Caenorhabditis elegans: one gene and its partner. The protein of the gene in region 1 purifies or fractionates together with the protein of each later gene. This does not show direct contact. Each region holds a gene or a part of one and is shown in the gene's direction. Other genes may lie near its edges.

Region 1 (17,966 bases):
TTCATACGGTGGCACGGCGACAAGTTGACAATCAACAACTTTTGTATCATTCTGTCAAGTATACGAACAATTTGAATGTGCTCTCAGAGCTCAAAGTCAACTCACAGACCACGTCGATTACGGTAGGTTTAACGGATATGCCTACCTGCCTGCCTTATGCCTACCATATGCCTACGTGCCTACCTTCTGCATACAAGCATACCTGTTACTAGATAGAACATTAAATTAAATGCGAAAATATCGGAAATCATCCCAAATTGAATTGTAGGCAGGACCGTAGGCAGGCAGGCATAGGCGGTAGGCAGGCGTGAGCCTGACGACCTATATGTTTTTTTGCAGCTCTCCCTAAAATCGAAGAATCTGATGGCGATTGCAAACATCAATGAAGTATTCCAAGCGCTTCTCAACTGATTTAAATTGCCTTTTCCCCTAAATAATTCTGAATTTCCCCCCAAATTTCACTTCTAATGTATTTTTGATTATTATTATTATTGTGAAAAAATCAGTCTTACCAAAAAAAAATTCTAATTTATTTTTATTATTTCTGCTGAAATTTATCCCCCGCTCCACACACAAGATATTTATTTATTTATTGAATGTTCTATAGATTTTCCAACACAAAAAAGTATAAAAGTTATTGCAATAACCCCCGTTTTTTCCGCTGTGACCGAGAAATTAACAAAAAAAAAGTCGGCCACCGATTTTTTTTGCACCACGACCAGCTGGTGCATTCAATAGACAATATTTTTGGCTGAAAATGGTAGGAAAAACGAGCAAAAATTTTACTGCACCAGATATAGCTTCAAATAGCGTACCAAATTTTTTTGGAGCTATTAGAGTGAGTAATAAGGTTTTTCGTATTGTCTCAGTTTTCATATTTTTTCACACTTCGTATCTGGCATTAGTCTATGAGGTTAAAAATTTCGATTGTTACCACTGTAAGGATTTTCTGGTTCCCACCTCTCCAAAATAAGAGCATTACTTCAGTCTAGTTTTCCAGGTCCAGCAAGTGTCGTCGTAGCGAATGCATGTCTGCATTCGGCCGTCACCGCTGCCAACAACAACGACTAGGCCTGCTACCTGTCTACCGTACACAATGCAAACGCGCCCCGTTGGACGGCGCGCTCGATTCGCCTCGGATTACTGCCCGCCAATCCTCGTCAGCCGGGAGTATAAAAGACCGTCGTCACGCTCATTCGAGGTCTTCTCTAATTCCTTTTACTTGTGTCATTTATCGCCCTTTTCCCCTCTTTACATGTCCCATTAACTCGGTGTTTTCTCTATTTATTAGTTTATCTTTAATAAACCGTAATAACCTCGAAAACTTCCACTCTTACTCCACATACATTTCCGTCGACTTTGAAACTGCTCCAACCTGAAAACTCTGCTTGAAAAAAGCTCCAATTTAACCCTCAAGTGATATCGCAAAACATTTGTTTTTTCAAAGAACACCACTGGTTGCAGAAGGGGGTAATTGAGAAACATGTGGAGCGGGCCGGAGCCAGAAGAAGGATTGATGAGGTTTTATGGAAAATGAGGAATCAGGATACACAAGATAAATGGAAATGAAATCATTTTTTAGTAAATGTATGATTAATATTCTAAAAAAAACCACAGTTCTAACAGTTAAAATAGGGGAATCCTACACAAAACTTGGAAGATAATTACAATTTGTACATAAATAACAAAAATGGAAAAACGGGGAAAAATCGTGGTCTGATTTGTTGAAACATGTACATAAATTTTCAATTTTAATTGTTTCTAAAGAAGTGATTAAAAATATTTGGAGCTTTTCAGAGATTAAAATTTTTGTTTTCCTGTTTTAAAAAAATTTCAGTTATTCTAAGATTATTGAATTTTTGAAACTTAAAGAAGGAGTATCGTCAATGGGGAAATTGTTTTAAAATGCAGTATTTGTACTCAAACTTCTAATTATTGCAAAAGAAAAACGGAAAAAATCCGTTAACATTCAGCATTCAGCCGTTGAAATCGACGAAAGTGGCTGAATTTGAATTTCGCGCGCAAATGAATCCTAGGCCACCACACGATTCCTAGGCCATATTCGTTCAACAACATAACATATTGATTTAAATGCTATTTTTCAAACTTTAATTCGTTTTTCTTTCTCAAAAAGTTTGAGAAAACTGGGAAGAAGAAATTGCATAAAATACTTTTTAAAAACACAACGCAGAACAGAATTTAAATTCGAGCAATCCTCGTGGCCTAAGATTTCGCTAGTTAAATTTTAAAGATTTTTTTCGTCGATTTTTCTGACTAAAAATGCTCAATGTTAACGGGTTTTCCCCGTTTTTCTTTTGTTATATTCGTAAGTTTGAGCACGAATACTACATTATAAAACAATTTCCCTATTCAGGATACTCCTTCTTTAAACATTTTTACTGAAATTTTCAGATATTTTCTTAAAAGAAACTTTCAAGTCTAGGATTTTTGAATGAGAATTGGGACATTTTCAAAAATGACATTATCCATGCAACTCCTAAAAACCCCAATTATCTTCCTGGAAACCAAACTTCGAATCGAATCCAATACTTGGGCCCGTGGGTACAGAACATCAGAGCACCGTTTTCAAGATACACGTTGCTAGTCGTTGGATGCATTCTTTTAAGATCATCAAATATTGATTCCACCAGTGTTTCTTCCATTGTATCGAATATTAAACTACGATTGATTCCTGGCACATTTTCAGCAGGTTCGTAGTTCTGGAAAAATTAAAAAAATCATGAATATTTTTGAAATAGTTTGTAAAAGTTTCCGATAAAAGTTCAAAGTATTTTTTATTTTTTGTGGTGTTAAATACTACTCATATGGTGTCAAAATGGCCGAATAACATAATAAAACTTTTCAGATTTTTTAAAATGTTTTATTTACTGTCAAAAAGTGACAATTACTCAGTTATTGCCACTCATCATTTTGGACGTCGACCAAACATATATTTTTCCCTGCATTTTTATACTTTAATTATGTTTCGGTTATTTGTATCTGGCAAATTTATTTGTCGACAAATTCGGCAAATCGGCAAACCGGCAATTTGCCGATTTGCCGGAAATTTCCAAATCCGGCAATGTGCCGGAAATTTTAATTTACGGCAAATTGCCGATTTGCCGGAAAGTTCAATTCCGGTGATGCGTTTAATTTTGCCATTTGAAACTGAAATTCCAAAAAATAAGTGCAAAACCACAATTTGCCGAAAATTTTCGGCAAATTACCGATTTGCCGGAAAGTTCAATTCTGGCAATTTGCCGATTTGCCGATTTGCCGGAACAAATCGTTTGCCGCCCACCCCTGATTTGTATTAAGCATTGATACATGCGACATTGATCTGGATTTCCTCAAAAGCTCATATTTTTCAAAATTTTTATCAATTTGCCAAAACTTTACCGGAAATTATGAAAACTCTGAAAATTTTTAGATTTTGGATCATTATAAGTGTATTTTTTTTAAAGTCCCAACTGGTGCTGGTTCACCTAAAATAGTTTCCAAACACTTTGAACATTTTCCAGAAAACGTGAAAATTTTCAGAAAAATTAATGAGCTGTTTACGGAAGAATCGCATGAACCTGTGATCTAGAATTCCTGGAGTTGTCTTAAGTAAAGACACCTAGGCCACGCAAACATCACCGGTGGAGGTTTTTTTTTAAATACATCTAAATGTCTAAACGATGTCGTTTTAATTAATGGCCTAAGTTTCTATGAACACAAAAATATAGGCCAACTCAATTTAGTCGGTGGCTTAACACTTCAAAAAACATAAGCCACTCTATATTTAATAGACCACAAATCTTCAGAGATAGCGTAGATTCCTAAAACTCAACACCTCAGCCACAGAGATTTCTTCGAAGACTCAGATTTCCAAAAACCAAAAGCTGTTCATAAAATATTTTCAGATGGTCTTGACCACAGTGGCCTAGATTTCCCTTGTCGGGTCTATTCCTCAAAACTTAGAATCCCCGCATACCTCGAAAAATTGTACAATTGCTGCTCTGTTAACAACAAGGGCTTCTCCCGGATGCGGTGCTTTGACGAGAATATTGAGATTCGGCAATCCCGTTTTCAGAACCTCACTGATAAATCTCGAAGTGAGCTCGGTGCTGGAGTTCAAGCTGGAACATATATCCATTTAGAATGGCTTTTTTGATGGCCTAAGTGTTTTTTTAAACTAGGCAACCACCCATCATAATTCATTACCTGAGACTTAGCGTATCCTTCCCATTTTCTTGCAACTTCAGTCGATTCAAAACGTCGAGCAAATGTCTTTCAGATAAATTATTGACATGTAAGCTGAACATTTAAATATTTTCTGAGCAAAAAGTTGTTTTCCTTACCTTAACACTTGGAGCTTAGGACTATTGTTAATAAGATTGAAAGCGGTCTTTATGTATTTGTCGGTCACACTTTCCGATGATGAGATTTCAATCTAAAAAACATGTTGTTTAAAATTGAATTCTAGGTTGCGATGTTTTACTCGGTGGCGTAGAATTTTCAGAACAACTTTAATTAGAAAATTTATTTCTTCTGCTTCAGTTTTTCTGGTTACTGTAAATTTCTCGGTTTTTTTAAAAATTGATTTCACTATTAATTTGTTCTCAATTTTTCGAGAAAAAAAAATTAAACTTACTGAAGCCATTTTTTTACAAAATGATTCGGCAACCGGAATTAGCGATTTTTCGAGAACTTCTTGACTGGAATCGATAATTCGAAAAATTTGCGGAACCATCCATCTCGTCTGTCTAAATCCTTTTATTGTTACCTGGAAGAAATTGAAAAATTAAAAGTTTGGTATTAATATGATACAATGTTAACTGAAACTTTAAAAATAAATAATCAATAACTTACATGTCCTTCTGTCGTAAATCCGTCCGGCTTAGAAATTTCGTTCCCGTCGATTTTAATAAGCTTTACTGGCCATTTGCTGAAAATACTATTTTAAACATTTTTATTTTTGAAAAAGCTATACATTCCTAATAGTCTAAAGTTTTCTTTTATAAGAAACATTTTTCAAAAAGTCGATATTTGAGAATGTTTGAAAATTATTAATTTTGGAAAACCTGGTCTACTTGTACTTCAGAAAAAATAGTTGAGTTTTACATCTATGATTATTAATCTATTTTCAAAAATTCAAATATTGAAAAAAAAACTAACTTTGTTTTATTGGGATCCATTTTATCACTGATATTCCGTAACACTTCATTTTTTGATCGAATTTCCCATAATTTCTTAATTGAAAATTGGCTGAGCACTGATTCTATTGAGAATACAGTCATTGGTTTGGATTTTGAATCCATTTTTAGTTCTGAAAATAAACCCGAGATTTTTTTTCTAAAACGGAAAATTAAAATAAGATAAATCCAAAATTAATTTAGAAGTAGCAGAGTAAAATTTCAAATTAAAAAAATTAATTTCAGCAGTACAATTTAGAAATTTAGGATATTCAAAAAAAAGTTTAAAAATTGAAAGTGGTTTTAAGATGTTTTGAAAACTATTTTGCATATTTAAAAAAATCTAATAAAATCAGTAGACTTGAATGTAAAAATGTATTAATTTGTAATTTTTTTAAAAGATAAAAAAATTGTTTTTTCGCGTCTCTAAAAATCGAATTTCTCATAGTTATTCAGAAAACTTCTAGTTTTTTTCGATTTTAAGTCATCGGACAAAAAGGGCCAACATTACCACTAAAACTGTAGAAATAAAAATATTCAAAAAAAATTTTTTTCAATCGAATACATTTCGTTTTTCTCTCAATTCCGATGCTTTAGTGAAAGCATGTATAGAGCAAGAGAACAGGAGATCGTAGACAGTTAGACGGTTGGAAAGAGTGGCACCAATGTGAAGAGACGCTAGACGAAAAATGAAAAATAATGCATGTGTTGTTGTCTCAAAGATAATGTTGCAATGGTAAACGCAGGCGAAAGAAAATGCAAAAGAAACAAATAAAACATGTGATCTTTGAAACATGGTTTAAGAAAAATTAGACTCGAAGTTGTCTGAAAACACCGAATTTCATAATGAAACTTGTTGAAAACTTTTCAAAAAAATTTGACGACTCAAAAAATTACCTAAAATTAGTTAAAATTTGAAATTTGACAGACTTGTCAATGTAGCAGCTATAGGAAACTAACTTTTTTAAAGTCACTGTCTTATTGATTTAAGTACATTTGAGGTTACCAATATTTACAAAGTCTGTGTTTCAGACAAAATGACACCAAAAAATGCGGAAACTACAGAAATCGGGCCTCCAATATGAACATTTTTGAATGAAATTTTTTTTTTTTTCGCAAAAAGGGTAGAATTCACCGGGAATCCAACAAAAAATGGCATTTTCAACATGGTGCATCGGGCAAAGTTTCCTGCAGAAAGCCACAAGGCCTATGGCTAAGCCTAAGCATATGCCTAAGCCTGAGCCTAAGCATACGCCTAATCCCAAGTCTAAGCCTAAGCCTAGGTCTAAGCCTATGCCTCAGCATCTGCCTAAGTCTTAGCCTAAGCCTAATCCTAAGCCTAGGCCTAGGCCGAAGCAATAGCCCAAGCCTGAGCCTAAGTCTATGCCTAGGCCTATGCCTAAGCCTATGCTTAAGCCTAGGCCTATGACTAAACCTAAGCCTAAGCCTAAATAGCCAATTTATCGCCAATTTTTAACTTTTCAGACGAAAATCGAGATTTTTACAGTTACAGAGAAAATCTTCCAATTTCTAGATTTTATTGTTTTTGGAAGTTAATAAATCGATTTTCAGCAGATAGTCTAATTTTCTTGGCGCTTTTTAATGGCCAAAGGTACCGTACTCTGTGTAAAGGCGCATAACCACGTAGTATCAGCATGTCCCATCACGGTTTGATCTACAAAAAATGCGGGATTTTTTTGCCCAAAAATATGTGACGTCAGCACGTTCCTAACCATACGAAATCAGTTGAGAACTCTGCGTCTCAATTCCTGCATTTTGATTTTTTTTTTCCATTTCTTTACCGATTCACGTGGTGTCAAAGTGCCTTCTTTCGGCATGATCTACATAGATCTACAAAAAATGCGGGAGAAGAGACGCAGAGTTCTCAACTGATTTCGCATGGTTAACAACGTGATGACGTCACATTTTTTTTGGCAAAAAATTCCCGCATTTTTTGTAGATCAAACCGTAATGGGACAGCCTGGCACCACTTGAACCCAGCTTTTTTCGATTTTTTTTTGAATTTTAATTATTTAATAGGGGAAAGTCAAAAAAATCGATTTCATATTGTTTCCGCAAGTCGAAATTTGATTTATGTGTATCTGCCCCAAACTTGTCGCTCATTTCCATGGTGATTCTCGCGCCAGCTTCACACTTTTTCAGATTTTCCATTGAAAATGTCATCCGTCACTTGTTTTTCCAACCCATTTCGCTCCTCTCCATAGTCGTTACTTTTTACTTTATATAGCCTCTCTCTCTCAACTTGACAGCGCACACGCTACTCCACAAACATGACATATTTAGTTTCTGCTCCAGCTCTTTTTTCTCCTCCGTTTTCCCCCCGTCCCGGGTGTTATCGATTTTTCGCCGCGCCGCCCTCTTTTTTTTGGGGAAGGCCATTTTTAATACTATTTTCCATCTTTTTTCCGTCTTCCTTCTTCCAAAAACGTTAAAAGAAAGGAAAAAAAAACGAATATTTCTTCCTCTTTTTCTTCCAAGAAAGGCTCGAACCCTGCTGTTAATCGAGAAGAGAGTATACGAAGTCACCGAGAGGAATGCTTGCGCATTTCGCGTGCCTAGTGAGTCGGCAAGTGAGACAGAAACACAGAAAGCATTCGATTTTCTCCTCGTTGCTGCGCTTATTGCTTCATCTATTTCGTCTGTCTTTTTTTTTTCTTTTTTCCGCTTTGTTTTTATGTTTTTTGCGGGTGTATGGACCTTAACACGTCATTTTTTGCAGTTTTTGCACTGAAAATTGGTCGGAAAATCGTTAAAACCTTCTGAAAACTCATTTTAAATTCAATAAAATTAAATATTCATCACACTTTTGTAGATCGTCGCGAGACCCGAGCCAATTCAAAGACCATGCACCTTTAAAAACCATTTCAAGATTTTTCGTGTATTATGCTCGCTTTTCTCTCGGAATTCCAATCGGAAATTAAAAATAATCTTAATTTTCACTTCGAAATCAAGTTTTCAATATTAAATCGTTAGAATTTCATTTAAAACCACCTAGAAATAGCTTAAATTTGTTTAAAAGTTTAAAAACTTGAAAATTAATTACAATTTCTGTAGATCGCTGCGAGACCCGAGTCTCTTCAAACTATATGCGCCTTCGATTACTGCCCTTCTCAAATTCGTTTTTTTCGCTTTTCCCACGGAAAATTGAGTGATTTTTCCATTTTTCCCTCAAGAAATTTCAAAATGAGAAAAATTTCGCAACACCTCTCTCTCTCTCTCTATTCATGATGACTAATAATTCTACGATTTCGCATTGTTTGGGAGAATTTTGTATTTTTCATGAGAGACGCCGTTAAAATTTCCAATTCCGATTTAATATTGTCATTTTCTATTTAAAAACGTTAGAAAATATATTAAATATTGGTAAAATCAACTTAATTTTACTAAAAAACTTTAAAAAATTCAAAAATTTATCAAACTTTTGTAGTTCGCTGCGAGACCCATCGGCAATTGGAACTCCGTGCGCCTTTAACTTTTCGATCAATTTTTTATTTTTAAATCCAAAAATTTTCAATTTCCCGCTAAAAATCGTTAAAATCTTTGTGAATTTCCTTCAAATTACGAAATTTCGCAATAATTTTCTTCTTTTTCTCGAATACCTTCCAAAATGCAAAAATAAAATCGATTTTCGCATGCTCTCCACCCATTAATCTTCCGTAAAGCTGTTTCCATGGCAACTAGCATAAAAAATTTAGTTTTCAGGTGGTTTCCTCCTCATTCGACACTCGCAAGAATGATTATCAAGGAGTAGTAAGTGATTTTTTTATTTTTAACGAAAATTTTGATTTTTCCTGGAAAAAATCGGTTTTTTTCCAGATTTTCCAACAAAAAAAAATCGGATTTCTCCATTCTTTTCCCAAAAAAATCGGATTTTTTCAAGATTTTTCCCGGAAGAATCGGATTTTTTCCAGATTTTTTCAAAAAAATCGTATTTTTCCAGATTTTTCCATTAAAATCGGATTTGTTCCAGATTTTTCCATTAAAATCGGATTTGTTCCAGATTTTTCCATTAAAATCGGATTTGTTCCAGATTTTTTCCATTCTTTTCCCAAAACAATCGGATTTTTTCCAGATTTTTTCAAAAAAAAAATCGTATTTTTCCAGATTTTCCCAAAAAAATTGGATTTTTTCCAGATTTTCAAAAAAAAAAATTTTTTTTCAGCCGAGTTGTGCTTCCAATGTCCGTCGAAGAGTACCAAGTAGGCCAGCTCTGGTCTGTGGCCGAGGCCTCAAAAGCCGAAACGGGTGGCGGTGAAGGTGTGGAAGTGCTCAAAAATGAGCCATTTGACAATGTTCCACTGCTCAATGGACAATTCACGAAAGGACAATATACTCATAAGATTTATCATCTTCAATCGTAGGATTTTCTTCTTTAATTCTGCGAAAAAAATTGGAAAAAAAATCAATTTTTTCAGGAAAGTCCCGGCAATTTTGCGAAAAATCGCGCCAAAAGGTTCTCTGGCTATCCACGAAGAAGCATGGAATGCCTATCCGTACTGTAAGACGGTTGTCACGAATCCAGACTATATGAAAGAGAATTTCTATGTGAAAATTGAGACAATCCACTTGCCGGACAACGGAACGACCGAAAATGCGCACGGTTTGAAGGGCGATGAGCTGGCGAAACGAGAAGTTGTCAATATTAATATTGCAAATGATCACGAGTATTTGAATTCCGGAGATTTGCATCCAGACTCCACTCCATCCAAATTTCAGAGCACAAAAACCGGGCGGTACGGGAAAAACCTTGAGATTTTTCAGTTTTTAAATTAAAAAAATCTGAAATTTCAGCGGTCCTTTATCTGGAAATTGGAAGGATAGTGTACAGCCTGTAATGTGTGCCTACAAGCTTGTTACAGTCTATTTCAAGTGGTTTGGATTCCAGAAAATTGTCGAAAACTACGCGCATACGGTGAGATTACGAGAGGATTTCGTGGATCGACAAAATGGGCGAAAATGCTCAAAAAACGAGCTTTTTTTTGTTTGAAATTTGTAGAATAACCCTATGTCGATTTACGCAGATCGTGTACTCCCCGAGGAGAAGAATTTCAAAGTTTAAAACTGAAATTTTCGATTTTCGTGGTTTTTTCATACTCAAATTGACAATTTATAGGGTTCTTAGGTGAAAATCAACAATTTTCACTTAAAATCTGATAAATGTAAATAAAATTAAATAAATAAAATCTGATAAATAAAGTTTTCACCTAAAAACCTAACAAACTGCCAATTTGAATGTGAAAAAACCGCGAAAATTGCCAAAAAGTCAAAAGGAAAACCTAGAAAACCTCTAATTTAAGTGGAAGAGGTTTTACACAGCCATTCTTCAATTTTCGAGCAAAATTTCGAACAATTCCGGAAAAAAACTGAAAACCGAGCTGAAAAAATGGAAAAATTTCGCATAAATGCTCGTGGAAATTTTCAAAAAAGTGGATTTTTACCCGATAAATTAATAAATTTATTTAAAAAATCTCAAAAATTAGCTTGAAATTGGAGAAATTTTCTTTAAAAAACCGCAAAAAAAAAGAAGTTTTCGAAAAATTGCATACGAAAAATGTAGAAATCGAGCTGAAAAATGCACAATTTTCGTAAAAATTTTTTTCCATCTTTTTCGCTGAAAATTTTTATAAATGAAAAATAAAAAAAATAAACCAAAACATTGCTTAATTTAATAAAAATTTCAAAAAGTGCGAAAAAATTGAATTTTAATTTTAAAAAAAGCTGGAAAACTGCGCAATTTTGTATAAAATCCTATAAAGTAAAATTTTCGAAAATGTTTTTTTTTGTTAACCCAGTAATCTACCTGAAAAATGGACATTTTTGTTGAGATTCACGTGAAAATGTTCAAAAATCAGATTTATTTCAGATTTTTCCAAAAAAAAAAATAATTTTTCCATTATTTTCCTTTAAAAAAACGGTTTTTTCGCCAAAAAATCTCGGATTTTTCCATTACTTTCCCAGAAAAATAGGTTTTTTTTTCTAGAAAATTCAGCTTTTTTCCATTTTTTCTCCAAAAAAATCCCAAATTTTTCAGCAATACCCTCGCCTGTTCTCGAAATTCCATCGGGAAGTATTCTGCTGGATCGATAAATGGCACGGCCTTACAATGGTCGATATTCGAGAAATCGAGGCAAAAGCCCAGAAAGAGCTCGAAGAGCAAAGGAAGAGTGGACAAGTTCGTGGAATGAATGGATAAATGGACCACCGGGCCGTGTTTGGGCTCAAATTCTAGTCTTTTTCCGATTTTTTTCATCGCTCTTATTTCTCTAATTCTCTCTCTCTCTCTCTCTCTCTCTCTCGCTTCCTCCCACCCATCCACCTGCCCCATGATGAACTGTGTGATTATTTGAGTAGTGTGAATTTTGGGAATTTTGCTTAAAAATTTCTAAAATTATGTTAAATTTGAAAAAAAAAGAAAAATCACGAAAAATCAAAAACTCTACTTAAAAACCGCTTTTTTTGAATTTCCCGCCAAAATGAGACTTTCGACCAATCAGCGATTCGCTCCACCCACTTTCGGACCAATCATTGGTCCAAAACTGGGCGTAGCGAAGCGCTGATTGGTCGCTGTTTTTTTTGAATTTTTTTATAGCAAAACATTCGGAAATTAAAAAAAAATGGCGAAAAATATAACTTTAAACTCGTAATTTTTGAATTCCCGCCTTCGAACTCCGCCCACCTGTTCTGATTGGTTGAATGATGGGCGGAGCGAATCGCTGATTGGTCGCAGAAAATCTCGTTTTTTTTGGTGATTTTTTGAAAATTTTCAAAGCAAATATTCCGAAATTTTGAAAAAATGCGAAAAATTTATAATTCCCGCCAAAATGTGAACTCCCCGACCAATCAGCGTCTTCGAACTCCGCCCACGCGTTCTGATTGGTTGAATGATGGGCGGAGCGAATCGCTGATTGGTTGACGTATTTTTCACTTTTTTTAAAAAATTTTTTGCCTATTTTTCGATTATTTTAAAGCAAAAGTCCCCATTTTTTCACACTGCTCCCCTTTTAAAAACTATTTTTTTTTTCTTATTTTTTTCGTCCCGGCGCCATTTTTTCACTCACTTTATCCACACACACCAGCTCCCACTCACTAGAATACATAGCTCTTTTTTGTCCTTAAAATCGACACCAGTGTGAAATCAACAACAAAAGTTGCTCACTATTTATTATATAGCTTCTGAAATGAAATGCAAAAAAAATCTCATATCACCCCGCACCCCCAGCTCTTTATTATAGAAAATGATAATTTATACAGTTTTTTTTTGTTTTTTGTGACCCCCCCCCCCCTCTTTTTTAGTAACAAAAAATCTTAAAATCAAAAATTCCAGAGAAGAATAAACGCATGTCTCATTTTATTTTTTGAAAAATTTTAATTTTGAGAAAAAACCAAAAAATCCGGTTTAGGAACCTAAATATTTCGAAAAAAACGACATTCTGGGTCTCGACGCGACGGGAATTTTTGTTAAATGCGAAAAGGTATGCGCCTTTAAAGACTACTGTAGTTTCGAATTTTTCACAGTTTTTCGATTTAAAAAAATTTCTGAAAAATAAAAAAAATCGATAAAATTTGCAATAAAATTCAGCTAATTTTGAAGTTTTTTCTACAATTTTTTTTTGAATTAAAATAAATTTAAAAAAACTTTAAAATGAGCTGAAAAATGCACAACTTTGCACTTTTTGGGTTAAAAATTGCTCAAAAATCGCAGTATTTCATCCATTTTCGAAATTAAAAAAAAAAAATTCGAAAACCCCGAAAAATTGATGAAAATTTGAAACTACAGTACTCTTTAAAGGCGCATACCTTTTCGAATTTAACAAAAAAAATTTCGTCGCGTCGAGACCCATTTTTCTGGGCTAAAATCGCGAAATTTTCAGATGAGATGGGCTACAGCCTCCACCGTACGGGCATTTAGTACAGAAATACCGCCGAAAAAAGATTTTCAGCGGGTTGCAGCACTCGCCAAGCTGTGGTGAGGGATTTTTTATCAATTTTTCGGAGAAAACTGCTTTAAAAAACGTTTAAAAGCGCTAAATCTTACATGAAATTGGAAAAAATTGGGAAAAAAGTTGGAAAACAGCGTAAAAATTGCATTTTAACAAGAAAAATCGAAAAAATGAGCAGTTTTCAGCTCATTTTCGAGGTTTTTTTTTCGATTTTTACTTGGCAAAACTTGCAGAAAAATCGATTTTTTCACGAAAAAGAGAAAAAAATACAGAAATTGCGTAAAAACAAGAATTTTAAATCGGAAATGTCAAAAATTTATTGGAAAAATAATTTTGAAAATTAAAAATAGGAAAAATAGCCAAAAATGGTCTAAATTTACATAAATGTTTTAAAAAACGGAGAAAAATCCAGAAATTGCGTAAAAATTGAATTTAAATGGGAAAATTCCAAAAAAAAACACTTTAAAAAATTGAATTTTTGAATAGAAAACCATAAAAAATTCGCTATAAACTTGAAAAAAATTATCAAAATTTCCCAGAAATTGAGGAAATAATTTAAATTTTAATCGAAAAACCTCAAAAAAGCAAAAATTTATGCAAAAATAGACAAATTGTCCATTTTTCTACTAAAAATTCGCATTTTTACATAAAACCACACGTAAAAACCGAAATTTTCAATAAAATTGCGGAAAAATGCTGAATTTCGCTTGAAAAAAATCACAAAAAATTAAAAAAAAAAAACGCCGATTTTTTTTTAATTAAAAAAAAAATTTTGATTTTTTTTTCAAAAAAAATCAAAATTTCGTTTTTTCCGCCGAAAACCCATAATTTTCCATATATTTTAAAAAACCAGCAAATTCCCAAAATTTTCAGGGAAAAATATACATTTCGCCATGAAATCCTTACTTCTTCCGAACAGCCGGCCGTACAAATTACACGATCCGATCGGAATTATTTGGATTACGGAAGAGTACGGAAGATTTTTTTTTCAAATAAAATCAATATTTTTTCAGATATCACTCCATCAGGGCTGTCCACGTCTCATTTTGCAGTCCCCACAGGGAAAAATCGAGCAGGCGAAGGCTTTTGTGCAGGGATATATGGTACTGTACCTTCTCGGGTCTCGCCACGATCGGAATTTTTGAGAAATTGGGAATTCCGGATTTTTTTTTGAACAATTTTGAAATTTTTGAAATTTTTGGCCAAAAATTTCGGAAATTTAGAAATTTTTACAAATTGGTTTTTTTTTGAAAAATTGCAAATTTTCGGAATTTCGAAAAATTTGGAATTTTTGGAATGCTGAATTCTTGAAAAAATCGGAAATTTTGAATTTTTGAGAAATTTGGTTTTTTTTTTGAAATTTGAAATTTTAATAACTTTTTGGAAAACTTTTATATTGGAATTTTTGGATTTTTGCAATTTTTGGCCTAAAATTTCGGAAATTTAGGAAAAAATATTTGAATTTTTTGGAAAATTTGTATTGTGGAAAATTTGAAATTTCTGAGAAATTTGAAATTTTCGGAATTTTGAACTTTTTCGGAAACTTGAAATTTTTGAGAAATTTGAATTTTTATATTTTTGAAAATTAAACATTTTGAATTTTTTCGGAAGTTTGAATGTATTTTCCAAAAAATCCATTTTTTTTAAAAATTTTCAGAGAAACGCATTTGTCCGTGGAATCGGCCTCCAAGACGAGAAAAAGGAGTTCCTCGCTCACTGTGATTCGGTTTTTTTCGAAGTTCTTCGAGCTATTCGGGAGGTAGGCGAGACGAAAATTGTGCCTGCCTACCTGCTAAAAATTCTGAAAAATATGTTTGAAAATTCAATTTTTTCAGAAATAACTCAAAAAATTGTTTTTTGTTCTTAAAGTACGCCTGAAAATTTGGAAAATTAAAAAAAAAATTAAAATATTTGTTGAAAAAAAAAATTGAAAAAATCTGTAAAATTTTCGACTTCCCAAAAAATAGGCAGTAGGCAGGCAGGCATAAAATAGGTGCCTACCTACCATATAATTACAAATTTCCAGGAAGACTTTTCAAATTTGGCGGAATTCACACTCGGCGGACACGAAACGCTGCAATTTCATCGCTCGGCCGCCCATAAGCTCAGTAAAATTCAGAAGGAGGCGCTGAATGTGAGAATTGTTGAATTGGGTCTTGCCGCGAAATGTCGATTTACGGAGTTCGTGTACTCTCCGTGGAAAAGAATTGAATATTTAAATCGCCAAGTTATCAAAAATTTTGCAGTTTTTTTTGTTAAAAATTTACAAATTAAAAAAAAAAGTTCATTTTAAAAATCCATAAAAAATCAGCAAAAATACTTCAAAATCGAGTTTTTTAGCCAAAAACTTGAAAATCTTTTCCTCGGGGAGTACACGGCGAGCTGTGCGTGGAAATCGCTGCGAGACCCAAAAAATTATTATTTTTACGCAAAAAAAAATTTCCAGATAACACAAGATGACCTGCTCGGCGACAACGGCTATATCGTCAAATTTCCATATCTCCGACGTAAATAAAAAAAGTGAAACGTCCATTAAATGGGCGTGGCCATTCTCAGAATTGTAAACGCGCTCCAATGCTAATCGGCGGGAAATTCAAAACTTTGAGTTTTTTTTTTTTTGAAAAAATTTGTGATTTTCATTGCAAATTTTTAAAAACATCTTTAAAAAATTTTGGAATTTTTGCGGTTTTACCACCGAAAACTTGACATTTCCAACTGTCCACTGGAGCGCATTTGCACCTTCGTGTCCATTTTGTGGGCGTGGTTTACCAAATTAAAATTTCGAAATTTCAGATGAAATGGGTCCATATATTCATTCGATAGAGTTTACAAACGTCGACGCTGTCGGAAATACACATTTGGGTGACGGGGAAAAGCCTTTGGATAAGATATTCTGCAGGTTAATAATACTGAAAATTTGTTTGAAAAATTAAGAGATTTCTAAAAAATTGAAATAAAAATTGTTTGGAAATTTGAAAAAAAAAATTCAAAAAATTTCGAGTCGGTCGAAAAAAAAATCGAAAAACGACGAGAATTTTAAATTTTACAACTTTTTGGTATTTTTGCAGTGTTTTTTCAGAGAAATTCGGGAAAAAAAAAATTCAAATTTCCGTTTGTTTCGGTGTTTTTTTTTCAGAAAAAATCAAAAATATTTGAATTTTCCGATTTCTACAGTTTATTGCAGAGAAAATTCATAAATTATCGATTTTTCGGTGTTTTTAGAAAAAAATTGGAAAAAATTTGTAATTTAACAGAATTTTTTAAAAAATAATTTTCGGGAAAAACTCAAAAATCAAACAAAATTTAAAGCTTTACGAAAAAATTTAAAAAAAAAAAAATCAATTTGACCGATTTTTTGATTTTTTGGATAATATTTCAAATTTTTGAATATTTTCCTATTTTTTCTCTGAAAAACCCAAATCTTTGGTTTTTGTTCACTGAAACTTTTAAAAAGAAAAAAAAATTGTTTTTTTTTTCAATTTTTTGGTATTTTTGCATTTTTAACGTTTTTTTTTGGCTTTTTTCAGAGAAGTTTTGAAATATTTCGATTTTCCGTATTTTTTAAAGATATATTCGAGTTTTTAAAAAAATTTTCAAAAAACATGAGAAATGATTAAAAATTATAGAAACCTGGAAAAAGTTTCCAAATTTTTTTTTTCAAATTCGAAGTATCTCCCTATTTTTAAAAAAAAATTAAAGTAAAAAAAAATTCAATTTTCTCTGAAAACATCGAAAAATTGAGAAAAAATCAATAATTTTTACTTAAAATTCCATATTTCCAGATACAAAGTGGTGCTCGGTGGATGCTACAAATTCGATAGTCTCCTGAATGAAATCCGTAAAGGATCACAAATGTGGTCACAACGGATCAAAACACCCAAGGACTACACTTTCAAATGGCCACGCTACACGATTGTCGAATTGGATATCTGTCAGCAGGCTTATAGTCAAATGCCGATTAGACTAAATGATACACGATACCTCTATGATTTTCATGTTTTTTCATTTTGATTTAGGCGACCTTTTCATTGAAATTTATATGTATCATGTAACCAATAAATACTGGTTTTAGTCTATAATTTTGATGTTTGTAGTGAAAATTACAGCAAGTTGCCGGAATTTAAAATATTCGGCAAACCGGCAAATTGCTGGAATTTGAAATTTCCGGCAAATGGACAAACCGGCAAAGTGCCGGAATCGAAAATTCCCGGCAAACCCGCAAATTTCCCAAATTTGAAAATTCCAACAAATCGGCAAATTGCTGGAATTGAAAATTTCTGGCAAACCCGCAAATTGCCCAAATTTGAAATTTCCGACAAATCGGCAAATTTCCGAAATTGAAAATTTCCGGCAAATCGGCAAACCGGCAAATTGCCGAAAATGAAAATTTCCGGCAAATCGGCAAATTGCCATGAATCGAAAATTTCCGGCAAATCGGCCAACCTGCAAATTGCCGGAATTGAAAACTTCCGGCAAACCGGTAAATTGCTGAAATTGAAAATTTCAGACAAATCGGCAAACCGGCAAATTGCCGGAATTGAAAATTTCCGGCAAATCGACAAATTGCCGGAATTAAGATTTCTCGCAAATCGGCAAACCGGCAAATTGCCGAACTTTAAATTTCCGGCAAATCGGCAAATTGCCGGAATTGAAAATTTCCGACAAACATTCCAACCGACAACTTGTCTGAATTGAAAATTTCAGACAAATCGGCAAACCGGCAAATTGCCGGAACTGAAAATTTCCGGCAAACCGGCACATCGGCAAATTGCCGGAAATGAAAATTTCCGGCAAATTGGCAAATTGCAGAAATTGAAAATTTCCGGCA
Region 2 (16,009 bases), on another chromosome or scaffold:
AAAATAAACTCACGAGATGTCGGCCGCTTTATTTTTTGCCATGATTTTTGTATTTTTAATTAAAAATTTAATTTTTTTAATTTTTAATTAAAACTAATAAATTTGAAAAAACATAGTCTTGATCACGGGTTACATGTAACTAGTTGACCTTTTTTTTTGATAACATCTTTAGTTTTAGAGTTTAACGGAATAAAAGCGAAATCATCAAAAAACTAAAAGTGGATATCTTATTGGCCAGTACTGTATTTACTCATCTAAAATCATTAGCCACTATAAATATTTGTCAATACATATATACAAAAAGTTTACATCACTCATCATTTAAAACCAATAGAGAATTAGATATAAAGAATTAGAAAATAAATGTGAGGACAACCACCAGTTGTCCAAATTCAAACACCAAATGACCGGATACTAGTCGTGAAGCTCGTCTTTCCCAGGAGGAGGTGTTTCTGCTTTGTTTTCAAACAACGCACATTTGGTCATTGTATGGGCTTAATCACAATGGAGCAATGTACAGTTGATAGTTGACAGTTGACAGTTGGCAGTTAAGTACCTTTGTTGTTGACAAGCAGAAAATCTAATTTGCTAAAAAAGTTTGTGTTTACTACATCTGACTTAAAAACACTTTCAAGGCCTTAAAAATCTTTTTAAAATTACAACGTTCGAACTGGATTTCCATAGTTTGTAAAGTTATTGTCTTTCATTGTCCGAAACTTACTAAATATGTTTTAAATTGAAGTTTAATGAGAATAAACTTTAAGAAAACAAATCTGAAAACTTTGAGATGACTCTTAAAATATTAAAATGAAAAAATCCAACTTTTTCTATATCAACGATAGTAACTAAAATAATTCCATTATCGAAATTCACGTTGAAAGCCTCAACTTTTTCAGAACAGAGAAACTTGAGCAAACTTTTTTTCTGTAAACATTTGCAACCACTCTTCAATTAACAAATACCGAGAGAGCAAACATTTTTCTACTTGCTCATCCAAACTTTTGGTTAGCGATTTGAAACAATATACCGACTCCCCAAAGTTTTTTTTTTAATTTTCAGTTGTTCTTTCGAAATGTTTGGTAATTGCTTGAAGGCTGTTGCCACCCGGTTTTTAAAATTATCAAATTTCAAACAAAGACCCAATTTGCAAAACGAAGGTGTGATGTCTTCAAATCTGCTCGATATGCCTCTAGATGTGATCAATGTAGTAATGGGAAAGTTAGAGCCCATGGACTTGTGAGTTGAATTCATTATTAGTGGAGTAGTGCCAGTGGGAATGTTGTCTAAATTCAATTATAATAAATTGAAAAGTTTTGGAAAATTGCCAAAATTCTGAAAAATATGAGCAATTGAGAAAATCCAAAGAAATGTAGCATTTTTAGACCCCTAATACGAAGTTTTAATACGAATAATTAAAACAAAATTGCTGTATAAAAATGTAGGAAATTTTTTTCCAAAGTTTTCGACTTCCAAAATTATGAGTGACAAAAACTGAGTAATTGTCACTTTTTTATTGTAAATAAATAAATTTCAAAAAAAAATTGAAAACCATAGGAGTAGGTATTAAAACTTTTACCACTGGCTACTAGACCTTTCAATTTTAAAATATTCTAGACTTAACAAGGGTCACATAAAAAAAGTTTGAAACCACATAATCTTGGGTACCAGCTGATTACTTCAAAATGAGTGAACCTTTCAAATTGTAACACAGAATTACATAAATAACCACCAATTCATTACAGATTAAGATTGCGTAAAGTATGCCACAGTTTGAAATCTGCTGTCAATAAATTTGGAATTCATTTCGATTCAATTCATTTCGAATTACATGATCACAGTATCACCTTGTGCTTGGACAATGGATTTCCCATTTACATTAGAGCAGTTTATGGTGGTACGACTGTAAGCTACGGTCAGCGAACAATTGAAATTGAAGAAGAAAATTTCATGGATGTTGGGTTCAAGGATTTGAAGTTTTTATTGAAGCATGTTTCCACATTAGGAATATATAATTATGCAAAAAATAGAAAAGAGATCATAAAATCTTTTATTGATTTTTTGAAACCAGAAGAATGTTTCCCAGTGGATGCAGTCGAAATTTGGAATTTCTCATTCAATGATGTCGTTTCTTTTCTATCTTATTTTGATGATAAAACACTGAAATCAATAAAATTGAATCAAAATGAACCAATAGAACAATTTGAGCCAATAACTTATTTGGACCAGTGGACAAATGCAAAACATTTTGGCCTCAAAGCTACAAATTCTAATGTTGACAGTGAAATAATTAAAAATCTGTTTCATTTTCCACATTTCTGTGTCTACAAAATAACCGATTTCCCAACACAACTTGCAGTTAAAATAAGAGATGTAAGTTATATGTACTTGGATTTTTTGGTCAGATAATTGATTTTCTTGCAGAATCTAATGAGAAGAAGCACATTCCAACAGTGCACTTTATCAGTCAACAAATTGACCTTGAACCCAATCGAAATTGCGAGAATATTCAAATCGGACTATACTGGTGGTAAAGAATATAAATTCAAATATTCAAATGGAACTCACAAATTTGAAATTTCACTTGTACAATCTACTAAATGTATTTATGTCCCTTTTATCTTTTCTGTGAAAAGATTGTGAAATTTCATTTTAAATAAAACGTTTTTGTTGAAGTACTCAAAGTAATTATTATACGGTATATGATGCATTTCCAGTAGTACTGCAGTTTCTAGTAGTGGCTAAAACTAATATGTATCCTGTGCTAACAATAATACATTTTTGGCCGGCGCTGTCTATTGTTGAACACAACGATGGTTCGACTGTAACTTACAATCATAAGAAACTGAATAAAAAGAAAACTCTGTGAAAACTGCTTTCATAGAATTGCAGATAGCACCGGAGCATGAGTATTTACTTCTCTACTCTTGCATAGTTTTTTTTCGAGTCTAGAATCTTTAAACATGCCATGATACATATGAACTCACCAATCAATGAACTTCAATTTTTTTTAGAACTGAGCCGCAAGAATCTGTGGGAAGTAATTTGGAGGAAAATTTTCACAAAAAGGAACAAAAATAAATTTTTGTATCAACCAACTTTATTAAATTATTATACTTTCAGAATTAAATTAACGTTTTTTTTCAACGAAAAAATTGAAAAAGTGCTGCCGACTCATACATTTGATTTCAAATAAATTGTTATTGTCCGAATACTCAAATGCATACTCATTACCACCATCATATTCCGGTTTGAATACTTTCGCTATTTCCTTCTGGTTATACCCTTTGCAATGTATTACACACTTCCGGAAGGTACTTTTTCTTAAAAGATTCTGTAATACGATTAAATGTAGAACGGAATGCAACCATTATTACTTGCATCTCTGATTACAATTGCACTTTCAGTTGGAAGTACGTCCATTTCTACATCAAACTCTTCAAAGTGAAACAACTGCTCTATTGATAAATTTTTAATTGCGAACGGATTGCATCGAAATAAAAATGTTTTTGCATTTTTTCATTGGTCTGATTGAGCAAGATCTTCGATACTTCCGTTTCCCCGCAATTCAATACTGTCTAGCACGTGGGCATCAAAATTAGAGAGAATCGAACAACTGTCCTTGAATGTAAACATTCGAAGGGAAATTCCTTTCACGCTTGAAAATTTTGATCTTTTCAAATAATCGATAAAATATTCAATATTATCTAGTCGTGAATGATTGTTAAACACTACTTTTGAATCGGTGTTCAATAGCATCTCCAAATCCTTGAATGCTATTTTTAAATAGTTTTATTTTAGTTTTAGTTAGTTTTATAGTTTTATAATCCTTGATAATCGTTTCCTGACGGTTGTGAATCCCAGTTGTATTACTCATATCACCATTCCCAGCAGAAGTATAATAAATTACGGTTTCCTCCAACTCCATAGAAACCTTGTCTAGAAATAAGTTAAACGTGATTTTGCCAACATTAAATTCAAATTTATTAACGGCGGTTCTCAAACCTCGACACACTTTACGGCAAGTCAATCTGAAATATACTTCCGAACAGTTTTGTATATTACATATCAGCGGTGTGCGGCAAATTTGCCGAATTTGCCGTGTGCCAAGTTCGGCAAATTTCAAAAAGAACCATGTGTGTATTCAGTAGTTTTGGTGCTCCAAAAAACTTAAAAAATGTCACTTTTTCGGAGTTTGTTAGGCACGGCAAATTTGCCAATTTTGCCGAATTTTCCGAGCTCGGCAAATTTTGAGATTTGCCGCACACTCCTGTTTCATATGGAGCACTAAAAAAAAGTTAAACAAAACAACTCACCGTTCCAGGAACCCAAGCTTTTTCAAAATCTGATTAGATATGGTGAGAGGCATATTGAGAAATTTGGAAGAAACTTGAACATCAGACATTATTTGAAAATTTGTTTGAAAACTGAAAGAAAAGAAAAAGGATCATCTATTAGGTTGGTCAAAAAGTCTTTGCAAAATTTGTTTGTTTCTTCATTGCTCAGCGTTGATTTATTTTTTTCCAATTCTGTTTTTTTATTTGTATAGTACGTACTGTGCATGCTTAATACATTTGAAAAACTTGTAGGTACTGTTCAAAATGACCGAGAATTTGCTCGCAGAAAGTCACACCCTCCGAGGGGTTTTTCTGTACGAGTTCCTCCAAGGCCACAGTTGCAACGAAGCTCGTCGTAATATGTGTGCAGTATTAGGCGATAACTCTGTCTCCTACAATACCATGAAGTTTTGGTTTGAAAAGTTCAAGAAAAAGAACTACGATCTCGATGATAAACCAAGATCCGGTCGCCCGCGTTTGGATATCGATGAGGATATTTCGAGAGCCCTGGAAGATGATCCAAGATCAATGTCACGAGAAATCTCTGCGACTCTCAAGCGTCCCCACACAACCATCATCAACCATCTCCACGAATCCGGAAGGGTGCCAAAGTTCGGTCAACTCGTTCCTCACAATTTGTCCGATTCTCAGAAAAGTTGTTTTGTGACCTCTCTTTTTCGCTGCTCACTAGGAAACGAACAACGGACTGGGTTAAGGATATCATTACTGGAAATGATAAATGGGTATTGTATGTTAGCCATACCAGGAATAAAGAGTGGGTCCCGGTCGAGGAAACCGCGACAAAAACCTGACCTCAAAGGGAAACTTCACGAGAAAAAGTGCTTCTCTCAATTTGGTGGGACAGTAAGGGTGTAATTTTCCGAGGGCTTTTTCCAGACTTCGTTACAATCAACGCTGGCCTATACTCTATTCAATTGGAAAAGATGGTCCGTGCTCATCGATTGCATCACCCTAGAGGATCAAAATTGTTGCTGCTCTATGACAACGCAAGATGGCATACAACTTTGAAGACCCGCCAAAAGCTCCAGACACTCGGAATCGAAGTTTTGCCTCACCCACCGTATTCACCGGACTTGGCTCCTACTGACTCTCAGGAGTTCTATGCGGAGGGATTTGCTCAACTTCCGTTGCGTTGGCAAGAAGTCATAGACACTAATGGAGAATATATTACCCATTGAATCTTGTTCGCTTTCAATAAATACTTCTTACAAAAAAAATTCAAAATTTTGCAAAGACTTTTTGACCAACCTAATATTTTTTTGTGTAGCAATCTATTTTTCGTGTAACAATCTATTTTTCGTGTAACAATCTATTTTTCGTGTAACAATCTATTTTTTCGTGTAACAATCTATTTTTTCGTGTAACAATCTATTTTTTCGTGTAACAATCTATTTTTCGTGTAACAATCTATTTTTTCGTGTAACAATCTATTTTTTCGTGTAACAATCTATTTTTTCGTGTAACAATCTATTTTTTCGTGTAACAATCTATTTTTCGTGTAACAATCTATTTTTTCGTGTAACAATCTATTTTTTCGTGTAACAATCTATTTTTTCGTGTAACAATCTATTTTTTCGTGTAACAATCTATTTTTTCGTGTAACAATCTATTTTTTCGTGTAACAATCTATTTTTTCGTGTAACAATCTATTTTTTCGTGTAACAATCTATTTTTTCGTGTAACAATCTATTTTTTCGTGTAACAATCTATTTTTTCGTGTAACAATCTATTTTTTCGTGTAACAATCTATTTTTTCGTGTAACAATCTATTTTTTCGTGTAACAATCTATTTTTTCGTGTAACAATCTATTTTTTCGTGTAACAATCTATTTTTTCGTGTAACAATCTATTTTTTCGTGTAACAATCTATTTTTTCGTGTAACAATCTATTTTTTCGTGTAACAATCTATTTTTTCGTGTAACTTTTTTAGTTTCGATGTTTTCAGTTACACTAGAAAATGTGGTGTCAAGTATTATGTTTTCAGTTGAACTAGAATTAGTGGTGGGGGGGGGGGGGGGGTTAAAAAACTTTTCTAGACTCTTCTAGAAACTTCTACAATTTTCAATATTTGTGTTTCGTTAAAAAACATGTGGAACTATATCAGTCGTACACATAGAGTTATCAAAAGGTATAATATGGACTCTTATTATAATTGCAGTCCCTAATAGACTTTCATGCAAACCTGATAAGAAAAAACCCATATTTTGTTCATGCAACTTCTACAAACCCAAACTCCTCCTACTATTAACGTTTTCTTTTCCTGTTTGGCAATTGCAAACATTGACCTCAATTAAGTATGCCTCCTGGGAATGCAGAAATTGCGCGCCAATGCAAACGGGCACCCTTCTCGTGTCATTTGAACACAGCCCACCTCTCGCAACACCGCTCATTCTTCTTCTCTCTCTCTCTCAAAATGTCTATGGCCACCGTTGATCCGTGGATGCAGAATCTTCCTCAAATTACCAACCAGGATTTCTTCCATTCCTCGGGAATCGAATGTTGGAATCGACAGTTTCCCGATCACCGCGTTGTCGAGGAAAATGGTCCGATCAAAACGAAGGATGCGTTGATGATTTTGTATTTTATCACAGTGAGAAATATCAGGAAAAACCGGTAAGAATTGCTCTTTTTTTTTAAATCAATAATTTTACCTTTTTGCAGAAATACAATAACTCGTATCAGGGATGCACTGAAATCACCGGTTTCAATTTTCCGCCGCTCTCCAAAACTCTCACTTCAAGAGGATGTGCTCAGTTGGCAGAAATCGCCGGAATCTCTTGCCGCCAGCGAATGTAAGAAATGCTTTCAAGTTCCTTTTTAATTCTGCAATTTTCAGACGGCAGTAAACTTTTCGTTCAATTTCTGAAACAACAGACGTCGGCTGATGATGTCGATTTTTGGCTGGCATGCGCTAAACATCGGTGGACAGAAATGACACGGGATGGATACGAATACGCAGCTTATATGATTTACAATACTTATGTGTTCTGGACGTGTGAAAGAAAGGTGAGTAATAGTAAATGTCTCTAAGCAATTTTGTGATTGGAATTTTCAGATAGATCTACTTGATAAATTTTGCTTTGTGGACGACGACGGTGGCACCCCGAGAGATGTGTTCATCACTGCTCAGGCATATGTTGGGACCAAATTTCCAAAGGATTCGCACAAGAAGTAAGTTGAAAAGTCAATTTTTGTAAAGATTTGGTGAACGGTGATTAGATAAATGTGTTTCACGGGACACTCTGGCACCATTGCGGTTTTTGTTATGAGCTTTTGGTTCCGATTTCTGTCCTCAGTTTCGATTTACGGCAAAAATTTTACTTCAATTCTTGCAAATTGACTAAACTTAATTTAAAAAGTTGCTAAATTTGGGTGATAAGTTGTGGAGAATTTTCGAATAGTTCAAAAGAGAATTTTTTCAGATTCCTCCAAGATCCCATCTACTTGAACTTCCTCCATTCGGTATCGTCTGCAGCAAATCAGCAAAAGAAGTAAATTGAGTGACATCATATTTTTTTGGTTTTCTCTACAATTTTTCACACCTCCCACCCAGTTCCCAGTTCCTATTGTTTTTGCTAAATGTACGTCTATATTTTATTGATTATTACTAACCAAAGTCTTGTTTGAAATAAAACTGTTGCATGATGCCTCCGGGTAATTGTGTAATCACTCTTCAATTTGCAGAAATTTCTCAACCAACTCTAGAAATTCCTATTGCAAAAATAGCAAATATTTAGTAAAGTTGGTTAAAATGGGTGCGGATAGACGAAAATTGCTGATAGTTCTAGAAATAGATTTTCACCCATTCATTTAACTTTCAAAATTCAATTATACTTCTGTAAATTGCATTTTCATTCGAGTAATTAAATTAATCTAGATATAAATCCGTCGCCCGTCTGCAGCTGGTCTCTCCAAAACTTTTGAGTGCCTTTTTCGCTATATCTATCATTTTTGCGCACCCTATGCAATTAAATATTTTATTAAAAGAGCATTGTCGTTCACTATATTGGAGGTGACAATTTACGATTAAGCAACTCCTCGGAGTGTAGTAATCTCAATTGCTTCCCAGATATGACTAGAATAGAAAAATTATTTAACATTATGATACTTCCACTACCTTTCCATTAAAAATATAGGTTTTTTTGATTTATAGTCGTTTTAGTAATCATTATAAAAATAAACTCACGAGATGTCGGCCGCTTTATTTTTTGCCATGATTTTTGTATTTTTAATTAAAAATTTAATTTTTTTAATTTTTAATTAAAACTAATAAATTTGAAAAAACATAGTCTTGATCACGGGTTACATGTAACTAGTTGACCTTTTTTTTTGATAACATCTTTAGTTTTAGAGTTTAACGGAATAAAAGCGAAATCATCAAAAAACTAAAAGTGGATATCTTATTGGCCAGTACTGTATTTACTCATCTAAAATCATTAGCCACTATAAATATTTGTCAATACATATATACAAAAAGTTTACATCACTCATCATTTAAAACCAATAGAGAATTAGATATAAAGAATTAGAAAATAAATGTGAGGACAACCACCAGTTGTCCAAATTCAAACACCAAATGACCGGATACTAGTCGTGAAGCTCGTCTTTCCCAGGAGGAGGTGTTTCTGCTTTGTTTTCAAACAACGCACATTTGGTCATTGTATGGGCTTAATCACAATGGAGCAATGTACAGTTGATAGTTGACAGTTGACAGTTGGCAGTTAAGTACCTTTGTTGTTGACAAGCAGAAAATCTAATTTGCTAAAAAAGTTTGTGTTTACTACATCTGACTTAAAAACACTTTCAAGGCCTTAAAAATCTTTTTAAAATTACAACGTTCGAACTGGATTTCCATAGTTTGTAAAGTTATTGTCTTTCATTGTCCGAAACTTACTAAATATGTTTTAAATTGAAGTTTAATGAGAATAAACTTTAAGAAAACAAATCTGAAAACTTTGAGATGACTCTTAAAATATTAAAATGAAAAAATCCAACTTTTTCTATATCAACGATAGTAACTAAAATAATTCCATTATCGAAATTCACGTTGAAAGCCTCAACTTTTTCAGAACAGAGAAACTTGAGCAAACTTTTTTTCTGTAAACATTTGCAACCACTCTTCAATTAACAAATACCGAGAGAGCAAACATTTTTCTACTTGCTCATCCAAACTTTTGGTTAGCGATTTGAAACAATATACCGACTCCCCAAAGTTTTTTTTTTAATTTTCAGTTGTTCTTTCGAAATGTTTGGTAATTGCTTGAAGGCTGTTGCCACCCGGTTTTTAAAATTATCAAATTTCAAACAAAGACCCAATTTGCAAAACGAAGGTGTGATGTCTTCAAATCTGCTCGATATGCCTCTAGATGTGATCAATGTAGTAATGGGAAAGTTAGAGCCCATGGACTTGTGAGTTGAATTCATTATTAGTGGAGTAGTGCCAGTGGGAATGTTGTCTAAATTCAATTATAATAAATTGAAAAGTTTTGGAAAATTGCCAAAATTCTGAAAAATATGAGCAATTGAGAAAATCCAAAGAAATGTAGCATTTTTAGACCCCTAATACGAAGTTTTAATACGAATAATTAAAACAAAATTGCTGTATAAAAATGTAGGAAATTTTTTTCCAAAGTTTTCGACTTCCAAAATTATGAGTGACAAAAACTGAGTAATTGTCACTTTTTTATTGTAAATAAATAAATTTCAAAAAAAAATTGAAAACCATAGGAGTAGGTATTAAAACTTTTACCACTGGCTACTAGACCTTTCAATTTTAAAATATTCTAGACTTAACAAGGGTCACATAAAAAAAGTTTGAAACCACATAATCTTGGGTACCAGCTGATTACTTCAAAATGAGTGAACCTTTCAAATTGTAACACAGAATTACATAAATAACCACCAATTCATTACAGATTAAGATTGCGTAAAGTATGCCACAGTTTGAAATCTGCTGTCAATAAATTTGGAATTCATTTCGATTCAATTCATTTCGAATTACATGATCACAGTATCACCTTGTGCTTGGACAATGGATTTCCCATTTACATTAGAGCAGTTTATGGTGGTACGACTGTAAGCTACGGTCAGCGAACAATTGAAATTGAAGAAGAAAATTTCATGGATGTTGGGTTCAAGGATTTGAAGTTTTTATTGAAGCATGTTTCCACATTAGGAATATATAATTATGCAAAAAATAGAAAAGAGATCATAAAATCTTTTATTGATTTTTTGAAACCAGAAGAATGTTTCCCAGTGGATGCAGTCGAAATTTGGAATTTCTCATTCAATGATGTCGTTTCTTTTCTATCTTATTTTGATGATAAAACACTGAAATCAATAAAATTGAATCAAAATGAACCAATAGAACAATTTGAGCCAATAACTTATTTGGACCAGTGGACAAATGCAAAACATTTTGGCCTCAAAGCTACAAATTCTAATGTTGACAGTGAAATAATTAAAAATCTGTTTCATTTTCCACATTTCTGTGTCTACAAAATAACCGATTTCCCAACACAACTTGCAGTTAAAATAAGAGATGTAAGTTATATGTACTTGGATTTTTTGGTCAGATAATTGATTTTCTTGCAGAATCTAATGAGAAGAAGCACATTCCAACAGTGCACTTTATCAGTCAACAAATTGACCTTGAACCCAATCGAAATTGCGAGAATATTCAAATCGGACTATACTGGTGGTAAAGAATATAAATTCAAATATTCAAATGGAACTCACAAATTTGAAATTTCACTTGTACAATCTACTAAATGTATTTATGTCCCTTTTATCTTTTCTGTGAAAAGATTGTGAAATTTCATTTTAAATAAAACGTTTTTGTTGAAGTACTCAAAGTAATTATTATACGGTATATGATGCATTTCCAGTAGTACTGCAGTTTCTAGTAGCGCTGCATTCAAAAAAAACCACCTCTATAGGTTCGACATTTTGAGGAGAGTTTTTGAATATTTTCGATAACTTCTTGTATTTACAAACAGAAATGAATTATTGGCTTCATCTCATTTTGGTAAAGGGAAAAAACACCAAAAATATTCATCAAAATTGCTCAAGCCCATGTGAAAAAAATTCCAATCATGTGAACAATTAAACCGTGACTACAACGGCATGCGCACAAAGATGAAAAAAGCGTGTCCGACCGCCACGTTGGCTGACCTTGCAACGTTGCCGCGGCTGCATCAACAACAACAACACGAACACGTGGAGCTTTCGGACAAACTGCAGAAACTTCTAGAATCCGTTTTAACTTTTTTTTATTGGTTTTATAACACTTTTACTTGCGTTTGATTATTTTGTTTCAGTTTCTGGTTCTTTCAAACCTTTTCAATTCTTTTGTTGTACCTGTAAATGTTTGCCGTTGACTTTTAACTCTTGAAATGCTTTATTCAAAGTTATAATTTTTTATTTCAGATATCTCGCGAATCCCTGAATCTGCTCAGATGTCGTCTCCTGACAGCTCACAATCCAAGAAGGCAGTTGGATCCCATCCATCTGCACGCTCAGTTTTCCCATCAATGGATTCTAGCGTCTTCACGGATGATGACGGGTAAGAGAGATTAAGCTAGATAAAGTTATATGCTTGTTTAGAAGCTTTTTGAAAAGAGTCCATATTCCGTGTCAGGCTGTGCGACAAACTTTTAATTTCTGAGTGACATGCAATTTTTAAATCCAAATCAAAAACTTGCTGTAGAATTATGAGAAAAACTTTCCTTGATTATAAGTTGTTGGTAGTTTCCTGAGCTGGTTTTGAAAATTTTTTGACAAACAAAAAAGTTTGGGCAGTTTTTTGAAATTGTAATGATATTCCAACAAAAGGTATGGGTATTTTTGACACATTCAAATGTGAATAAGTTTCGGGTCTAATAATTTTTTGCTGCTGATTATGACGTTCTAAAACTCTGGTACTGAATCCTATAGACCTCCAATCTTGTGTAACTCAACAAATCGTTTTTACACCCGTCCTCTGTGGCCTAGTCGGTAGTCGGTGTGTCTCGTTAAAATGAGGCTATGGTTCGATCCCTCCTGCGTTTCAATTTTTTGTCAATTGAACAATGTTTTGAAATATCTCTTCCAATCACTTTTGAGCACATTTGAGGACTTCACAATAAGTTTTAGGAAATTAAGAAAAAATCTAGGAAGCAAGATAGTGCAGAAGCCTCAGGAAAAGTGGCTAGGTTACGTTGAGTGGACTTACTTTTTTGTGACTACCGTCAAATGAAAGCTGTAACTAATCTCATAAACTTTCAATTTTCAGGTGTGAGATATTGCATTCGACGGCAAAAACTTGCGCACCGCCGGATCCTTGCTTTCCCACATCTCCTTTTTTTTGTGTGGAAAGTCCTGATGTGACAGATTTATCGCCTGACAAACCAGTGGAAGATATCCTGAAACTGGGAACGTATGTTTATAAATAATTTCACGGTTCTTCCAAAAATTTTTGAAAACCCCCAGGTATCCCTACTAGGAGCTACTTTTTCAGCCTTCAGCCCAAACTTGTTAGATTTTTAAAGGGGGAGTAGAGTTTGTGGGGAAATATATGTTTCTGACTCTAATTTTGCCCCTGATGCCGAATATCCATGTGAAAAAATTCAAAAAAATTTCCCTGATTTTATATTAATTTTTAAAATCCGAAAATTCATTGGATGCCAGTATGTGAGTTTTCAAACGTTGAATTTTCCCGCCAGAGACGTGCCGCAGGTGTGGGTTTACATTTTTTTCCAAACTTTCACTGCATACCGATACCTTTTCTTTTACATTTTTTATTATTGAGCTTGTCATAAAATTTGTCTCTATTCGGGAGTTTTGTTTTATTAAATCTTTTGAATGAATCCATGTATTCATATGGATAAACACCTTTCTTTCTCATCATAAAACTAAGAACAGAAGACCTTCCCACGAAACCGTGCCGCAGGTGTGGGTTTACGAGGTGAATATTTTCCTTCTATTTTTATTTGATTTTATACCGATTTTCGTCGATTTTTCTCATTTTTTCGCTGTTTTATGGCGCATCTCTATAGTTGTGGGATGGTTTTTTATATGGCAAAACACAGTTATTCCACAAAAATTCTGCAAAAAATGCTTTTTCGTGCACTTTTCATCTGAAATTTACCACTATTCCACGTCTAGTTTTACATCAGCTTATCACTGCGCGAGCTCATCTCTCCTCACTCCTCCGCGAGACTTTAACGGCGTAAAGTTAACAGTATCTCTTGTAAATTCAAGAAATTCAGCACACACACACACTCTCTCTCTCTCTCTTCGCTCTCACTGCTGGTTGTCTCCTCTGCGTCTCTGCCAGGCCGCGCTGGGTACATAACGGAGAACACTTCCAAGGCCTCCATGCCTCAGTCGGTAGCAGGTTGCTTGGCCAAAGAGAAGGATGACAGTTCGACTCCCATGTGCGCCCTATTTTTTTGCCTTTTTTGTTTTACTTATTACTTTGGTTTTCCCAAAAGCACAAAGTCAAGAAGTGGAAAGTAGAAGCGTTTAACACAAGTTTTGAAGTTTTGCTTATTATTAAATGACTACTTCTGGTCTCCGAAAAGACCTAAAGCCATTAACCAATCTAGATCTCTTAGAATTAGTTGAAATACTCAAGATCAAGAATTTCCGTGGAGTATTCATGCGAGATACTCTACCAAATGAAGGAATTGGAGAAAAAGAAGTAGGAATTGTGATAGCAAATCCAACATAAATGGGTTTATCCAGAACAATGTTAGTTTTCTCCATTTCTACAGCTACCAGGTGTTTATTATTCTTCTTTTAAAGTTAGGTTTACTTGCTAATTTTTTGATTTTATCTTCATCAGTAACTAAACGGACATCAACTCTTTCTCTGACATTTTCCATAGTTTTTCCAAATACACTATTATTCATTAATTTGTAAAAGTCTTTCTCAAAATCATTTTTAGCATTTTTCCTGGGATTTGTGTTCATTTCAATATATGAGGCTAACCAATTGCTTTCCTTGAAAGTAATGATCCTATGAATTTTCTTCAGCTTAAGTCCTAATTGAAGACACTGTAAAAGATTTTCATAATGGATCACATACTTCTCTCTATCAAATAAGGTATTGCACAACTTTTTAATAACGTGATTATCAATTTTTACATTCTCTGGACACAAAGGAGAATCATTATGCCTTGAGTGTATTTCTTTGGGATATTCTAAATCTACTTCAAATATGCAACCTCTATCTAACTTCTTCAAATAATTAATATAATCCTTTAGATCCGATTTGACTTCAGCTTCACCATTGAGAATACTTATTAAAGATTGAGTTTCAAATTTGAAGTCTCCAGTAGGTAACATTTGACACATTGCCCATCCATACAAATTGTTAGCATCTAGATACAAAAGGAAATTTGTTAATTGTTTTTCATTGAAGTTTTTAGTGTATTTGTTGTTAACTTTAGAATATCTTTTGACAGCATTAACTATTCCACCTCTAATTCCTTTTTCAATCATGAGATACATCTCAACATCATGAAGTTTGTCTAATTCTACTTTAGTTTTCTTAAGCATAGCATCCCAAGCTAATCCTGGAGAAGTAAAGTACCAACAAGGATCAAGTTGATAAACCCTTAGACTCAAAGCTCTGAAGTTTTCAAATACATCTGCTAAAAGTAGGACATCATTGATCATATAAATTCTAGTGTAATCTTCCAAACTAGTACACTTCATTTTTTTCCAAACTTTCACTGCATACCGATACCCTTTCTTTTACATTTTTTATTATTGAGCTTGTCATAAAATTTGTCTCTATTTGGGAGTTTTGTTTTATCAAATCTTTTGAATGAATCCATGTATTCATATGGATAAACACCTTTCTTTCTCATCAATTGGAATTGATGGGGGCTATAATAATTTTTACAAAGGCGTAGGTTTTAATCACTCAAATTTTCTGCTAATTTATCTAATGCAGAAGGCATGAAAGAGAAAGAATCTAGAAACCTACATTCAATTCTATCATATAGTAAGGAATTGATAAATCAAGACCTTATTAATTAAACAATTGTAACCTGAGACTGAGACTTTGTAACTTGTAACCGTGAAAACTAAGAACAGAAGACCTTTGATATCTTACTAATAGATTTATTAGAAAGAAAAAGTCTTTTTAAACCAGGAAAACCAATAATATCTCGAAATACTCGAGACCAAGACACTGAAAACAAGGAGAAAACTCCTCAACTGAACCCTAAATCTTAACTAAAAACAATAAAAACCTAAAACTTGTAACAATGGAAAACGGCGAGCATTACGGCGTCGACCGGCTTGCATCCGTTCTTGCGGGAGAAGTGCTAAGAAATCTTGGATTCGCGTCGCCGTGTGCGCAAGGCACTGAAAGTGCGTCAACAAGATCGCAAGGCGCGAAACTTGTTGAGCAGGAAATCAGAGGTTTTGGCGTGTCAAAATGACAAAAGAGCTTGCGTTGAGGGAAAAATAAAAGAGAAAAAGGGTAAAACCCTACAATATACATTATCTGTTTGTGAAGGTAACTTGTAGCTGAAACTGATAAACTTCTCAGTATTGCTAGAAATTTTTTCTATTTCTATTTCATGCTCATTCAAATACTTAGTACTTTCAAGACAGCCAACAATGAGATGAGAATCATAACCTTTAAGGTTGTGGAAGAA

Evidence for each region.
Region 2: the proteins of Y54F10AR.1 (region 1) and fbxa-40 fractionate together in Caenorhabditis elegans (co-fractionation; one large-scale study listed by BioGRID). This does not show direct contact.

Annotation. Positions count from the first base shown.
Region 1 is NC_003281.10:2,566,651-2,584,616, reverse strand, and holds Y54F10AR.1 (Phosphatidylinositol transfer protein N-terminal domain-containing protein), read left to right. Parts: upstream 1-8,931; coding exon 8,932-8,948; intron 8,949-9,360; coding exon 9,361-9,555; intron 9,556-9,613; coding exon 9,614-9,931; intron 9,932-9,989; coding exon 9,990-10,110; intron 10,111-11,229; coding exon 11,230-11,391; 3' UTR 11,392-12,459; downstream 12,460-17,966. Other genes in the region: apb-1 (AP complex subunit beta), read left to right, coding at 1-122, 340-411; Y71H2B.8 (FTH domain-containing protein), read right to left, coding at 2,511-2,720, 3,977-4,121, 4,207-4,299, 4,344-4,435, 4,637-4,768, 4,855-4,930, 5,161-5,303; Y54F10AR.2 (Mitochondrial genome maintenance exonuclease 1), read left to right, coding at 13,070-13,164, 14,012-14,108, 14,152-14,241, 14,796-14,897, 15,165-15,272, 15,585-15,645, 15,932-16,037, 16,921-17,149.
Region 2 is NC_003284.9:1,935,792-1,951,800, reverse strand, and holds fbxa-40 (F-box domain-containing protein), read left to right. Parts: upstream 1-9,601; coding exon 9,602-9,765; intron 9,766-10,271; coding exon 10,272-10,899; intron 10,900-10,950; coding exon 10,951-11,169; downstream 11,170-16,009. Other genes in the region: fbxa-41 (F-box domain-containing protein), read left to right, coding at 1,073-1,236, 1,743-2,370, 2,422-2,640; rgs-8.2 (RGS domain-containing protein), read left to right, coding at 6,770-6,969, 7,018-7,148, 7,193-7,362, 7,412-7,527, 7,779-7,851; Y59E1A.4 (uncharacterized protein), read left to right, coding at 11,814-11,920, 12,629-12,788.